Linked DNA regions of Drosophila melanogaster. The protein of the gene in region 1 interacts with the protein of each later gene in a pairwise test. Each region holds a gene or a part of one and is shown in the gene's direction. Other genes may lie near its edges. The genes, in order: Tsp74F, Eglp4, ATPsynCF6L and CG10918.

The links.
Region 2: the proteins of Tsp74F (region 1) and Eglp4 interact in a two-hybrid assay, tested with the Drosophila melanogaster proteins (one large-scale study listed by BioGRID).
Region 3: the proteins of Tsp74F (region 1) and ATPsynCF6L interact in a two-hybrid assay, tested with the Drosophila melanogaster proteins (one large-scale study listed by BioGRID).
Region 4: the proteins of Tsp74F (region 1) and CG10918 interact in a two-hybrid assay, tested with the Drosophila melanogaster proteins (one large-scale study listed by BioGRID).

Annotation. Positions count from the first base shown.
Region 1 is NT_037436.4:17,891,258-17,897,729, reverse strand, and holds Tsp74F (tetraspanin 74F), read left to right. Parts: upstream 1-1,867; 5' UTR 1,868-1,964; intron 1,965-2,517; 5' UTR 2,518-2,699; intron 2,700-4,173; exon of another isoform or gene 4,174-4,278; intron 4,279-4,343; 5' UTR 4,344-4,352; coding exon 4,353-4,430; intron 4,431-4,507; coding exon 4,508-4,699; intron 4,700-4,917; coding exon 4,918-5,013; intron 5,014-5,076; coding exon 5,077-5,373; intron 5,374-5,447; coding exon 5,448-5,495; 3' UTR 5,496-5,910; downstream 5,911-6,472. Other genes in the region: CG7402 (uncharacterized protein), read right to left, coding at 6,376-6,472.
Region 2 is NT_033778.4:23,607,029-23,610,770, reverse strand, and holds Eglp4 (entomoglyceroporin 4), read left to right. Parts: upstream 1-1,840; 5' UTR 1,841-1,964; coding exon 1,965-2,639; intron 2,640-2,719; coding exon 2,720-2,938; 3' UTR 2,939-3,179; downstream 3,180-3,742.
Region 3 is NT_037436.4:5,010,881-5,013,653, reverse strand, and holds ATPsynCF6L (ATP synthase, coupling factor 6-like), read left to right. Parts: upstream 1-1,520; 5' UTR 1,521-1,558; coding exon 1,559-1,854; intron 1,855-1,909; coding exon 1,910-2,057; 3' UTR 2,058-2,210; downstream 2,211-2,773.
Region 4 is NC_004354.4:21,428,094-21,431,124, reverse strand, and holds CG10918 (uncharacterized protein), read left to right. Parts: upstream 1-1,868; 5' UTR 1,869-1,881; coding exon 1,882-2,433; 3' UTR 2,434-2,511; downstream 2,512-3,031.

The DNA of each region.
Region 1 (6,472 bases):
ATGCATTATTCACGAGCACTACACATTCCCATAGATTCATTAATTTATTAATGCAATATGCAAATTTTTGATTGATTGAGATAGCTTTTATACGAAGATCAGTAAGTGGCGAAGGCGTAAGTAGAGTTATAGCAGCTATGATAAGTCATGTGAGAATCAAAAATGTTGCATTTGTTGTTTTTTCAATGTTTCACTTTAGTTTGCATCTGATAATGTATGATGCATGTTGCTGTGTTAACTCGGTTGTATGCGCAGTTCGGTTAACATTTTAATTATATCTTCCACTACCAGTAGTCATTTGCTTGCCTTCCCAATTTTTGACTCATTCCAATCAGTTAAAGTGCCACAATTTAACGCTTCTGACGCTTGTCACCTTCGCCGAGCTCAACGAGGCTTTCAACTCGCTCACACTAATCGGATCTCAGTAAGTATAGGTTCATAGGCGAAATTGACTGGCTTAAAATTAAGAATTCCCCATAATATTAATGATTCTTGGCCACTTGAGCAAGAATAACTGAGCACTAGTCGCAAACTTCGATTTCTGAGCAATATTTTATCATGAGGCGCCTGTGGGACGAGTGTGTGGAAATGGATTTTATGGCATCTATAAAACGCAAAAGGTTCCCACAGCGAGTTTATAAGATGCAAAATCAACAGGCAGAGTAATTGTTTTTCTTTTTTTTATGATTTATTTTTATTTTCGCCATGCAACTAACACATTGGTCGGTGATTACGGGGACATGGCGGGTGGTTGTTGTTAACACGGCCATAAAAGTGCTAAACAAGCCAACAATTTGAGCGCTTTTCAACCGTGCTGTGGAGTGTAAGTAGGGAGGGTGAGCTATTCGTCTATCGGCAGCCAACTTTCTGACCTTAGCTTGGAAACTGCTTAAAAAATTACTCAACTCAGCCAAAACTATTTGTTCGACTAACAAGAAAATTAAGCTGTTAATTGCCAAAGGTTGTCCTTCGGCACAGCAATTGAGTTCGACCAGCAAAAGTAACATGAAACACGGATAATAAGCATATTTTCCTTGTGCTCTCTTGGAACACTAAGCCCTTGAAATCAAGAAAGAAAGATAGCCTCGCCAATGTTTGATTTCTTTTCTAATATTTTCAATTAAATTTCGATATTTATACATACATGATACAGAAGACAAATTCACATACTACGAGCAATAAAAAGAAGATTTTTAGAAAAGTTCCAAGCTTTAAAACTATGATTCTAGAATGCGTAAGAAAGGAACGGACTGACAAACTTGGCTTTATCAAGTTGTCTGATCAACACTCGTATATTGAATATAAATATGGTTGCAAATAGATGCAAATGATCCAACTGAAGAAAGAAAACAATCATTACAAATAATCCTTGTTCAAAAAGTATTTAAACTTAAACTGTTATAACAAAACGGTAACCAATTCGGATAGATTTGCCTCCAAAATCAATTATGCGGACATTGCCATGTGCAGACCGAGAACTAAAACAAATATCAAATTTCGTTTGCTTATCAATATTTATATTTTGCAATTGCCCGAAATGAAACAAAGGTGCTGGCTGTGGACGACGGATCATATTTTGTTTGCTCAACGCATTTTCACATGCCGACTCCGCAAAGGGAAGTGTGGGTAAAAGAAGCCGAAAAATAGATGAATAAATAAGAGAGAAGCACGAAAACATTCAGAGAAGTATTTGCGGTTTGTAAGCGAGTAGAGACTCCCATCTCTCTCGCACCTGCAGTGCTAAGCCTTCGAAAACAGGGGCTCAAGTCGAAGTTGTTGTAATGTCGAGAGACCGAGACCAGAAAAAGCCCAACAACGAAGCTCTTTGTGAGCGAAACTAATAAAAAACCGATCGCCCCGACTGTTCCCACAACCAGTTCCAAGCGAGCTCTCGGGCGGTAGAGTCGTCCCTGTCCCACATATAAAACCATAGTATCATAGCTCCCCGGATCCACTCAATCCCTGTAAGGCGAGACTTAGGTCCATCAAGTGAATCGTATAGTTTTATCCCCACGAAATATCCCGACAGTACAGTGATAACTCCGCTAAGGATAATGCTGCCTTGGCAAGCGTGACGTAACTTGAAAAGCAAATGTTAAAAGCAAGGCGGCAAAAAAAAAGTTGTTTGCCATGGGAGAACTGCAATTGACAATAACAGCAACAGCAATCGAATAAAAACTCAATAACAATTATCAACTGCGAGTGACGCTTAAAACAAATGCAAGAAACCTGTATTAAAAAAGTTTCATAAAAATTCGAGAGCAAATATTAACGAATATTGCATAAATTGCTATATGCGTATGTAAACTTTGCGATCTCTTTTGATCTGAATGAAGTGATCTGAATGAAGAATGAACCAAAAATTTAAACAAGTTAATAAAATCGACCGAAAAAATGAATGAATGCGTCTTCATCAAAAAGTTGTTTATAAATAAAAGTGAAATTAAAAACTCTTCTACTTCTTACCACAAAAATGTTAATTGAAAGGGTTAAAATAATTTCCTTCTTTTTTTATAGCCACTCCCAAAGTTTCTGTGCATTCAAGTGCAACTAAAAATAGTAGCCGTTTCTTTTGTTTTGCTTTGTGTTTTTGCAAAACAACAAATTGAAGGCAATTTACATACACAAAGCTGAGAAAGAAAACCGCCAAAATTGGTTACCTAACGAAAACTTCGTTTGTGCTACGGGACGGCAAACTTGTAAGTGAATTTGCTTATTAGATAATATTTCATTTGTTTTAATTAATCATAAATTTCATACAGAGGTCCTTCAAATGCGACCACTTTCCTATTTTCACTGCTATATTTTCAAGCTTCGAGTATAAACAAGGAGTACATATTTCATATTTATAGCCTCGACCGATTCTGCTCACTAACTTTTAAGCTAACATCACCTACAAATAAAGATTACATACGAGTTTTAAACATAAATGACCTAGTAAAGCTATTATTCCTATGATTACAGATAGATAACAGGGTATGAAAGGAGCATAAAAGAGTGAGCTCAGAGTTTAGTAGATAGTACTTAAAAAGTCTGATTTTCTAAGTTTTTCATGAGTGACAGGACTTGGAATCCGAGCTTTAAGTGATCTATTACCATGTGTAGCACGTACAGCTGAACAATTACCATAAACTTAATTGGTCTCAGCTTACAAGCGGCAGATATAGTGATTCGCCCCGCCGCCAACGCCCCGTCATCATTAATGGCGACTTTCGGATGACTTACTGTCATCTCAGGCACGATTCGGATTCGCTTAACATGATAACGTCGAATGAAATATAGTGAATATTCAGATAGTGTGAGAACATTTTTTTAATAGCCCCGCCAATTACCTGGCGAACTCGACTGCGGCTTAACATATTTGAATTTGGAGAATAATGCTCGAAATGAGATGTCGTTTACCAGCTAGTGGGGTGAAGGGGTACCCGACTGCTCAGCCTGCAATTACTTTTAATTAGCATTTAGAACATCGCACTGCGCCAAGATGATTCAGAGCTGGGACGGCACTCGTAGTTAAACCACTACAATTAGCTGACAAATTTTCGGGCAGGCTATTACTTTGATTTATTTGTTTTGATCGCTCCAACTTCAACGGGGGGAATTCGTCTCGGAATCGCCGCGCAGCGAACCCTTCAAGTGGGCCTAATGCGATGTAAGTAACCAAAAAAAAAAAAAAAAACGCGAGTCTTTAGAGCCGTAACTGACAAAATCCACAAGACGTTGGCAGCCACCGCCGATAATGAACGCTTGTCTAGGCACATAGCGTTGGCAGCTTCGCTGCTCAGTCGCAGTTCCATAAAGTGGGTCATGGTTAAGTGTACTTCGGTCGCTTCGCGGTTCGGACCCGGCTTAGAAAGAGCGAAACGTTCGGCCGAAACCACAGCTGCGCATGCGCATGCGCATGCGCACCACTCGCCAAGCCGAACACCATTGATAGGCAGCCCATATGTTGGAGTGAATCTTACGCGAAAGAAACTCGTTAAAAAGTACATTCTTGAGATTACATCACATTGCAATAGAGAGTAGGCCAAAAATAGCTAATTTGAAATCGGGATGATGAGTTATGATTAACTTGGTTATCGCTAAGGACCTGTTGAAATTGAATGATCTCTAAGAACTTTAACTTAATTAAAGCATAGTGTGAAATTATTTTTATCTGTCTTTGGATTATAGAGTTGTATCGCCATCAAGAACCTCTGCATCTCATCCTACCCCAAATTCCCTGCATAATTCTCCTCGCATCAATATCCTCTGGGGGCTCTTCACCTGTAGACAAAAGTAAACAATGTGAAATCTTTTTATCCCATTGAATTGGTTAATTGAAATGTATTATCCTTTCAAAGGAAGACGATATGGGCTTCAGTTCGCGAATGGACTGCTGCGGGCAGTTCGTCAAGTACAGTCTTTTCATAGCCAACTTTGTGATATTCGTGAGTATCCAGGAGTCGCTTGAATTAAAAAACAATTTAAGAGAAATAAATAATACCAAAATATATGTATTTTCCAGGTGGGTGGAGCGATTGTGTTTTGTCTCACCCTGTGGACTCTGGTGGATCGGAGTTTCGTCAATGAGTTGCTCGGTACAAATCTTTTCTCGGGTGCTGTCTACGTCCTGCTGGTTACATCGATTATCATTTGTCTGGTGTCCTTTTTGGGTTGTGTTGGTGCCGGAAAAGAAGTCAAATGCCTCCTCCTAACAGTAAGTAAACAACAAACAATAAAAACAAAAATTTCATTTTATTAAATAATTAACTTTGTCCTTTTTGGAGTAATCATATCTGGATTTGCATATTTACAAAGATACCATCTAAAGAAATGATCTATTTGATTTAATCTTCTAAATGTTGTCAGTCTCTTCTTTACTATTATGCAAACACCATTTAGCTAAAAAATTAACCACTCGTTTTCCCTTTGCAGTATTTCATAATAGTGGCCCTAGTTTTCGTGACCATGCTAATTGGCGGTGTCTTGGGTTACGTGTTCCGCGAACGAGTTCAGCAGACCATGCGGCAGGTGAGGCAAATCCATCGATAACAACACGTGGGTGGCACATTAACCCTTACCAATATCCCATAGGAAATGCGTTCCACGATGGCACTATACGGAAGCAGGAGGGAGATCACCCAGGCCTGGGATTTGACCCAGGAGCGACTACAGTGCTGCGGAGTGGATACGTGGCACGACTGGAATAGGTACGGACCAGTGCCTGAGTCCTGTTGCCAGGAGCTTTTCGGTGGACAGCGTAAGGAGTGCACAATCTTCCCGACCATTACGAATCTGTACAACCAGGGATGCCTCTATGTGACGACCAACTTCATCAGGGATCACGCGGCGGTTATTGGAGGTACATCCATAGCGGTGGCCATACTGATGGTAAGTGAACGCCTTTCTTCGGTAGCAAAATTATTATATAATATATAATTAATTGGAATTTGGTTTATTTTTAGATCTTTGGCATGATATTCTCCTGTCTACTATTCAATATGATCGAATAGCGCCAACGAGGAGGGGAATCCCATGGTCACGCAGGAAAATCAGATACCAAGGTCCACAGTCCAGAAGAAACACATTTTTAAACATAATTCGCTGGAGTTAAATTAAGAGTATTATCTGAGTGTATGCTAATGTTAGATCTGCACAGATCAACTGTCCGCTTGTATTATGTATTGTATTGTATGTATATACGTGTTTAGATACGCATAACTAGTGAGTATTGAACTTAGTAGGGATTCTATTGTTATTATCTGTTGCATAAATTTGTATTATTTGTGTGAAGTTTTGTAAATTTCCTCTTAAGCCACCGTTATCAACAACCCATTACAATTGCTAGTTTTAAGTGAGCTTTTCAATACTTAATAGAGAATTTAGATGTCTGTCCATTGTTGTTTTCAATAAAAATTAGTTAAAACCAAATACTTCGGAAATGTTTATATATATTAATATTTTTTATTTTTAATCCAATTATCATTAAACGATATGTTGTGATATGAGTATAAAAAAAAAACGAAAAAGGATAAATATTTAAAATGATCTGGTCCATGAAATATGTCCATGTTACGTAAAAATTTGTATTTAAAAAACGGTTTAAAGTATTAAACTGTTTTTGATCGAAGCTTTAATCTACATGCAATATTGTTGCATATTTTTAGGTTTTTTTTGTCTTAAGTCACATTTTTGAAGCGGGAAAATAGGGAAAGTATGGATCACGCTGTGACCTGAAGGTGTTTACAAAGTGAATTATCATCAGATAATATAACAACTTTTATGTTATTTAACTGAAAATAAGTTCGCACTCAAGCGACTTTAAAGATTTGAATAAAAAAGTATTTTCTTTAATTAACTTTTATTAAAAATTATTCTACTAAGAACTTACAGCTACAACAGATTTCTGTATACTAAGCCTATAATACTACCCATCGCAAGCCATAAATTGATGGAGAAGGTGCCGGAACCTGATTGCGTATCCGTATTA
Region 2 (3,742 bases), on another chromosome or scaffold:
TCAATGAGTTGGCCAAACACAAACATTTGCCGTTGGCCAAGGGCCAAAACGCAAATGAACCAGCAGTGCTATTTTCTCCACCGTTTTCTGTGGCAATGCCAATGTGTGTTATGGCGAGAAAGCAATGGAAAACATTAGGCGTGGTCAGTGAGGGTCAAAAGTTCTGATCACCTGAGCCACTGTGTGTACTGGGTGTGTGTGCAACAGCAGGGCTTTTGAAAATATTTGCTTTAAATTGTTATTATTTATTGACGATCCAATTGTTATTGAGACACATAACTACGCAAATTGCGTGCAATTTGATCGACAGGCGTGCCGAGATTTGCCGTGATTTGTTTGCCACATTGCGTGGTAGCCCGATTCACGCAACGCATCCTCAATTGCAGCAATTGCAATTGATAGGAATCGAAGCGACGGTGGTAATTGATAGTGTGCCACTCTGCTGTTATCAATACGCAATATGCCGCCTGCTTCAATTGCGAGCGCGTCACGCACTTGCACAGCATAACAGTGTTATGCCCACCGCCCACCGACCAACTACACTGAAAATAATTATGGGGATTTTCGCTATCAATTACAGTTTAGTGCTAAGTTTGAATGACACGCAATGAAAATGTCGTATTTTAGGAACTATGGTTACTACTAATTCTAGCAATCATTGCTTAGCAGATTTGCCTTTCTCATGGCAAACAAATAGTAAGAAACAAGTTAAATGAAAATGATAATTTACTTAAAAAACAAATGTAAGGACCACCTTTAATATTATAATTCTCATAAAATGCTGTGAATAAGTCGAATGAATTCGATAGAGCAAAACCAGTATGTCAGTTGCACACCAAGTGTTAATATCTAACCTTGTTTCCATGGAATATCATCCGTATTGTTTCTACCATTTTATAATGATTTAAGCCAGGTGACTGGTAAAGGAAGAGTGGGAGCGAGAAGGAGCATCGCTCCAGAGATAATCGCAAAAGCGAACGAGAGCAGCGAATGAGCGTTTAAGATGCTCATAAATTCTGGACACTTGACTTTTTTATGCTCACCAGTAGGATTCGCTAATTTCCACGCCTTTGTGTGTGTGTGTGTGTGTGTGTGCTTGTGGTCGGTCCCCTTCATATGTGTGTGTGTGTATCTGTGTGTGTTGCTGCTCTCTCACAGGGGCTAAAAATGGGCTTTTGATTTACGCAATATTATATAGACACAGATATAAATATTTGCCTATGGCTACTCCACCGCCTCAGATTGACATTGACAGTCGCGCTGCCGCTTTGTGAATTTTCACCAGCTACGGAAAAGATTGATTATATAGTGCGATCTCAAAGAATTGGACAAGTGTCAAAATGAGCCACGAGATTCGGTAATTATCTGGCACTCGAAACCAAAGAAATTCAAAAAACAAAAAACAAGAGTTCTGGCTACCAGAAAGAGGGATTTACCAATCACAATAAACGGATTAATTCGCAACGTAGTGAACTCCAATTGACTCGAGTGGCGCTCAGGCGATAAGGTTGAAAAAGATTGGTTATTGTTTTATGGCCATGTCGTGATTTGATTCGCATTTTTTCGGCCATTTATCTATAAACCCAATTGACAGCCGAACGGCAATCACAAGTCTACTATATTTAGTACACGGCTACTTCATGTCAGTCCAGCCATCGATGGCATTCCCGCAGCAGGCATCGTTTGTCGGATCAGCAGCATAAGTTGTGCTTCCAAAAAAGGGTGTTTGGAAAATCGATGCCAAGTCAATGAACCTCGAGCAGCAGGGGATGGATCCGCAAGGGGTGGAAAACCAGCAGGAAATCGTCCAGGCAGCCGAAGGAGAACAGCAGTTGCAAAGGTCTAGAAGCTTGACAAACTAACTACAAAGTTGCACAATAGTTGAGATTGTAGAAGTGTGTCGCGGGGATTAGGTGCAAATCGAGGAGGGCTTTGCGAAACGATAGGATGGTCTTAGATAGGATATGATTGATGAAGTTCCTAAGCAGGTCTACTTAGAGTCGAGAAAGAGATGGACGATGGCGTGCGACAGAGAGGGTAGCTCGCTTTTTAGTGTGGCATTATTCAAGCGCTTCTCTGACCATTTCAGTTGCTGTAAGGTCTTCAAAATGAAGGGATCGACGCTGGACAAAATCTCCGCCTTCCTCGGCGAGCTCATCGGCACCGGCATCCTGGTCTTCCTGGGCTGCATGGGTTGCGTGAAGACGGACCTCTTTCCCAACAACCATCTGCAGATTGTGCTGAACTTCGGCTTCGCCGTCCTCATCGCCATCCAGTGCTTTGGCTGCGTCTCCGGTGCCCATCTGAATCCCGCCGTGACCGTGGCCGCCTACATCTACGAGATGGTCACCCTGCGCATGGCATTTGCCTACTTCGCCGCCCAGATGCTGGGCGCCTTCATCGGCTACGGCCTGCTCATGGTCCTGCTTCCCTCGCCCACACTTACGGTGGGCGCTGGGCTCTGCGTGACCTTGCCCCACACCAGCGTAACCACGGGCCAGGCCCTCGGCATCGAGTTCGTAATCACCTCCATCCTGGTCATCGTCTGCTGCGGAGTGTGGGATCCGCGCAACTCCAAGTTCCATGACTCCGTGGGCATTCGATTTGGCCTGGCCATCGCCTGTCTCGCCTGCGCTGCCGTAAGTTAAAGCGAACAGTTGGCTAATCCTTACCTGCCTCGAAACGGATTATTAACCTCGTTCCCTACCATTGGTTTTAGGGTCCCTTCACCGGCGGCAGCATGAACCCGGCCAGGTCGTTCGCCCCCGCCCTGTGGAACAAGCACTTCGAGAGCAACTGGATCTACTGGCTGGCCCCGCTGAGCTCCTCCGCCATCACCGCCTACGCCTACAAGGTCGTCTTCCGCCGCGAGGTGGTTGAGGCGGAGATCACCTCCAATGAGAAGCTGCGGCAACTGGAGGACGTCCAGCTGTCGTAAGGCCAAAGACATTGCTGTAGGAAAAGCCCTAACTAATTTAGTTAATATCTAAGATGCCGAATTTTAAAATAATGCATTCGTTGTACGCTAATGTTAGCAGTGTCTTCACAAAGTGGCTCGAACGTTTCAAAAGGCGAACCAAGTGCACACACTTACATAAGCCCTTGAAACGATAAACGTCTTGGTGAAAACACTAATTGCCTTCAGAAATAAAGAACATCGAGATTTTTAATCTAAAACCAAAACAAAACAAGTAAATTATTTTTATGGTTTTAAGAAATTCTACACAAGATATTGGTAGTTATTTGATACCTGAAGTTCTGCTCTTCTGGGCCATCTTAAAACATGTTGAGTCCATATTATCTAAAAGCTTTTCATTCTTCAATAACGAGGTATTTGCTTTGATTAGCTCTAAGTAACTTCCGGGCTTAAAAATACCAATAAGCTTTTTCCAGGAATCGAAAGTGAAAAAAGCCCATCAGCTTAAGCGGTCTTTGGAAAATCTGTTCATAAGATATTCGAATATCTTAGTACCTCCAAATCGACCAATCAAATGGTGGCTAAAAAACGTTATCAGCAGGCTGCGAATGAGACGCGCGTATCAGCCAAATAAAGCCAAAATATACCAACAATATGCAGTTATTGTACGTTACGTACTCCATTCGGGTCTATAGTCCGTATACGAAGCACAAATGATATATGTGGTTCTATGTGGTTTAAAGGGGACTATGTGCTATGGGTGATATGCTAATGCTGGATTTGCATCACTCTTCTGGAATTTCTGGAAATCACGGGGTGATTCCT
Region 3 (2,773 bases), about 13 Mb from region 1:
GAAGATTGAGATACATGCGCTCGGCACCAGACAAAAAAGACCTGATATATGCCACCAGCAGGCAATAACCGTTTCACGTCTTCTTGTTTTCGCCAATGAACGCTTAAACTATTGGTGCACCGAACAAAAATACTAATAGAAATAGGATCGCAAGTATGTTGATAAAACAAGTTTCAATATTTTAAACACAGATAAAAAACCTCTTAATATTTATAGTTCAACTCAGTTTTTTTGACAAAAACTTATATTAGTATTTGTATTAGAAACTTGATCGATTCAAAACACGTAGGACGACAGCCAACCCTCTTCATTGGAATGTCAGATGCGTGGGAAGTTTGTTATTGCTGCCAATTAGGTTGCCATTCTGTTTGTGCCAATGTTTGCATATTATTTCTGCCCAATTTGCATTGATGCAATATTGTCCATGTCCCGCGCAGCGCTCCCCCCTCCCCCCCCCACACCTCGTTCCACTACATGGCGGCGTCAAATGCAGAAAATGTCAAAATTTAAATATTGAAAGTGACGTTGGCGTACAAAAACCCCTCGTGTTGCGGGCGTTGCACTAAGCGGATAAGCGCTTGTTAAATTTTTAATGCGTTGCATAATTTTTAGTTCGGTGTGGATATTTTGCACACAATATGTACGTACTATATGTTCGTATATTTTAATTCGAGTGGCGGATGCGAAACGCAGCATGAGTGCTGGCTGCATTTGAAATGAGCCGCATGTGGCGATGGCCGATTAAGCCCGGTTTAGAAGCTACACATTCCTCATTTCGCACTCGACAATGATCCATTTATTTGCACTGTCAGCGATGGTGCGGGAGGGGAAAAAAGGTGAATGGAAATTTATATTAATTATAATTTTCACAGCCATGTCTTCCCATCAATTATCAGAGTTTGTCCGACGGCTCAGTTCTCTTTTCAGCTCTTTTCTGCTCTGTGCATTTAAATTTTTCCCCTGCAAAGTCCTTGATAAACATTTTTCAATTAATTTTTATTTGCTGCCGCCGACATTTCTTTGTCCACACACGCGCATATATTTATGTATCTTGCTGCGTGCACATAAGCAACAGCAACAGCAAGTTGACGGCAGCAACATCATCGCCTTTATGTGTTTCACGTATTTCTTTAACGGATTTCCACTTGTCTCACTTTTTGAGAAAAACTTGTCGAGATGGCACTCGCATTGTCAAGCCCACTCACACACAGACATTCGCAGATACGACGAGTCAGACAGAGAGAAAATCTTACACGCTCGGGAATAAAGGAGAACGGGCAGCAACGGTGCGTAAAAATTCGTCCTGGAGCAGGGAAGCACTTCAGATGCGTTAGCCCAAAATGCGGGGTTTGATAAACGCAAAAAATACTCAAAATAAAAGATATAAAACGTTTAAAAATATAAATTCAAATCTTAAAAAAAGATGGCTTACCTGTTCTGAAGACAATGATTTTATTTTAATTTTGAAATCAAATTACCCTTGAGTAAGATATCTCAGAATCATATTTTATCGCATAGAAACAGTATCGTGTCAGCAGAGAACAAAACTAACAAAAAAATGTTTAGCCGTTTCCTAAAACCAAGCCTAGTTTTATGTAGGAGTGTGAGCAATACCGCATCCCTTCGCTACAAGGATCCCATTTATCAGATTTTCCTGGACAAGGTGCGCGAGTATCGGCTGAAGAGTCCCAAGGGAAAGCCCGTAGATCCTGGTCCGGAATTCGAGGCGGAGCTGAAGGAAGTCACTGAGCGCCTGGCTCTGCAATACGGCGGCGGCGAGGGCGTGGATATGCTCGAGTTTCCGAAATTCAAGTTGCCCGATATTGATATTGATCCCATTTCGGTTGATGATCTGTAAGTTACAGTTAAATTGGAAAAAGTTTTTATAAAAATATAAATATTTACTTAGACCAGAGAACCAACCAAAGCCTGAGAAAAAGAATAGAGATAAAGAAGTAAAGGCCAAAGAAAAGGGTGGGGAAAAAGAAGTGAAAGCCAAAGATGGCAAGAAAGCTGACGAACCAAAGGGCAAGGATGAAAAGGACAAGATAAAGTAGATCATCACTAAAAATAATCGTTTTAAATGTTGTTAAAATTTTCGCACAATTCTTAATACTTTAAAAATTATAAAATGTTTATGTTAAAAGAAAATGAATTTAAATGCCTGCAGATTCGAGCTACCCGTTTGTAGCTGTTCCAGGATAGAGCCGAAAAAAGAACGCACCGAAATTTTTATTAAGCACATACATGCATAAGCAGCACTCACACACACCATGCTTTTACCATGTTAAGTAATTCCTTAAACAACACAACAGGTCGCCGCCATTCGCATGGCCTTGTCCCTCCCCTTGGTCCTTCGTCCTTTGGCGCTCCCGCACGCCCCATCCCACCCACTTCCATTTTTTCCGTGTAACTGACGCTGAGTGGCAGACACACAGATACTCACACAAGCAAATTGAATTTAATGCTTTCTGCTGTTGCTCTTGATAAAACGATGGCAAGCGAGAGGAGGCAGCGTGTAAAGGACGAGCGTGGGAGCGAGAAAAACAAATCAAGAGACGTCGCGAAGGAAATACAAGCCAAACGCACAAATAAATACGCACAAGTACATAAATTTAAATTATTTTCGTGGCCTGGCCTCGCTTTCATTTATGCTTTTTTATTTTATTATGCCGCTCCGCTACAGTCGGCCTCAAGGATCCAAAGATCCAAGGATCCGGCATTTGACTACGGTCCAGACGTCCTGGCACACTTTCTGAATGCCATACGAGTG
Region 4 (3,031 bases), on another chromosome or scaffold:
TTGGGGTAACGCAACGTCACGTTTCTGCAGTAAAACTTTAAAGTTGTGTGAGTTGGCGAGTTTGTGTGTCATGTGAAGTGGTAATTGTTAAGGTTCTGCAGTTCTGCACTATCCCTCTGTCTGCCCACATAAAAAAACCCCCTTTAAGACCTCTTAAAAAACCCCCCCTGTAACTGTTTTACCTTCCCGCATCAAAGTTAATGAAATTTCCAAAAGGGGCAAAAGTTCAAACGACGACAATTGGGCAAGCGCAAAAGCAAGAGGAATTGGGAGAACGCAGAAAAAAAGGCGGAAAAAGGGGAAAAGTACGGGAAAATGAAGGAAAGCCGTAGGGGAAAGCAGAAGAGGGACAGCGAAGAATACCTAGAACCACCAGCTTCTCTGAAAACCCAAAAGATTGTATCCGAAAATTATATTGACACGGTCGTGAATATGTGGCGTCAGTTTCTTCAGCCACACACACACATATGTACTTACTTTTGACGCAAAAATTAATTTTCATTTATATTTTTTTTTTTTTTATCTAAGCCGCAAATTTCTTTTTCTTTTTCTTTGTCATTTCATTTTCATTTTACTCCAAACGAAGTCACCCACCTTCCGGTCCTCGAAATTTCAATTTAAAAATCCCCATATGTGCGGAAAGCGGGAAACGCCATTCTATATTCGCGATTCTTAAACGCCACCCACTCCCGCCGCCCAACTAGGTGTCCTTGTCTCAGCCGCACATTTCACTCGACGCCCTGATTGATTCTAATCAGAAAATTAAGTGGCTCCTCGAGGTCGTTTGCCATGTATTAGCACTAATGTTAAAGATTTCTCTTCCTCGACATCCGCAACTCTCGAATTGGGAAAGTCAGAAAAGCTGTTCAGAGCTTTACTTTTCAGGAACTTAATCCACATTCACTCTAAGATGTTCGATCTTCTATACATATTTTTTTATTAATATAAGAAATATATGTTTATTACTTGGCAGTTGATATAGATAGATTTTAGACATAAATAAATGGCGCAAATGAAGGCTAAGCATGTGTATTTACAAATCAATTGACTTATTTCTGCGAATAAGTGTTACCAATTGAAAGGCCTTAAAAACTAATGAATTTACATAGTTCCTAACTTTTAATAAAGCATGAGAAAATTCAACTTTCGATGCTGGAGTATAAAACAATGCTATAGTCGAGTAAACCGACTAACAGATACCCGTTGCATACGCTTCTACGACTCTAGTATACCCCTTTACTCAGCAAGTAACAGGTATAAATATGTAAATGAAAAAATGAACAAAAAATATAATTTTTCCGACTGAGTCATAGATTTTAAGAGAACTTTTAAACGAGTGCTATTAGAATAAGTAACCCAGTTGTTGACAACAAATAAACAAAGTAAATAAACAAAAATTTGCAGTAGGGTTATAAACCTTCAAATAGACATTCATTTTCTTCTAAGCAAATTTACAATTCGTCTTAGTATTTGGCTAACGTTATGATTGTTTTTTGTTTCATTGTGAGGATACTGCGTAAATTTCTGTAAACTTCCCTCTCTGACACAGCACTTTTTTTTAAACTCAAACGGTTGTATTAAAATAGAAGAATAGAACAATGGAACTAATTCAAACATCGACCAGCTGTTGCCACACGACGAATGAAACAAGAGAAACACACGGATTATTAGATGCGAAGAATTCGAGCTCAGCTCTTCAGGGAGTTCTTCGCTCTATTTTCCATTCTTCGGAGTATCCAGCTAAGCACACAGCCAATGCTGCCGTCACGGGGGATTCTTAGCAAAAAGGCTGATGGATGAATTCGACACCGAATTTTTGGGTATAAAAGGGGCTACACGTACATAACTCAAATCAGTTGCTATTGGAGCAAAAGTCCCACAATGCGTGCCTACATTGCAATTACCCTGCTGGCCCTGGTGGCAGTTGTCGTGGCCCAAGGGGGAGGCGGAAGACGTGGTGGACGCGGTGGCGGCGGAGGCGGTGGCCGAAGTCTTGGAGGATTCGGAGGACGTGGAGGCGGTGGCTTCGGCGGTCGCGGTGGTCCTGGTGGTACTGGTGGCCCCGGTGGCTTCGGCGGACCTGGTCGCTTTGGAGGGCCTGGAGGACTTGGCGGTGGTGGAGGATTCGGAGGTCCCGGCCGCTTTGGCGGTCCCGGAAGCTTCAATGGTGGATTCGGCGGTCCTGGCGGTTGGGGCCCACGTCCACGTCCTCGTCGCCCAAGACCTTGGTGGACGACAACGGAGAGTTCCTTGGCCGACACCAGCAGCACAACTAGCAGCTCCTCCAGCTCCACCGACAGCAGCTCCTCTGCCAGCTCCACTGATAGCTCCACCGATAGCTCCACCGATAGCTCCACCGATAGCTCTACCGATAGCTCCACCGATAGCTCCACTGATAGCAGCTCCACGGAGAGCACTACTGGTTCGGGATAGATTCTGAGTCTCAATTGCAGCGTATTGAAAACTTTCTGGGAAATGTATGAAAATAAAATCTAATTGGCACATTGAAACTTAATTTCATTAACTTGGAATATATTAGTCATATACAGTCATATTAGTCTTACAGACTAGCCGAATCTATTCAGCAATGTCCGTTCGTATTAAGACCTTTGATTCGCACCAAAAAATATCTCGATTAGCATATGAGATTGAAAGCTGTCTCTTAAGAGAATTATCGTTTCTGTTATTTCTTCGATATCGACAGGCAAATCAATCATCTGATTAATGAAATATCATCATTTGTTATCATAAAGTAAACAGCATGAAGGCTAGTTATTTTGATAATTTAATTTTGGCAGCTGCCTGCCGAATAGCTCTATTAGGGCAAATTGAATTTTCAATAAGTGGTAGGCTAAGCGAGAATTGGACATAATAGGAAACACCCGACACCGCTGAGAACACCACATGACATATGCTGCACCATTTCGAGTCCAAAGGGGTGGTGCAACGAACGGGGGCACGGGCACAAACGTGCGGGGAACCTAGTAGGAGTAGGGACCGAAAATCCGGACGCCATATAGAAGAGGGCTGA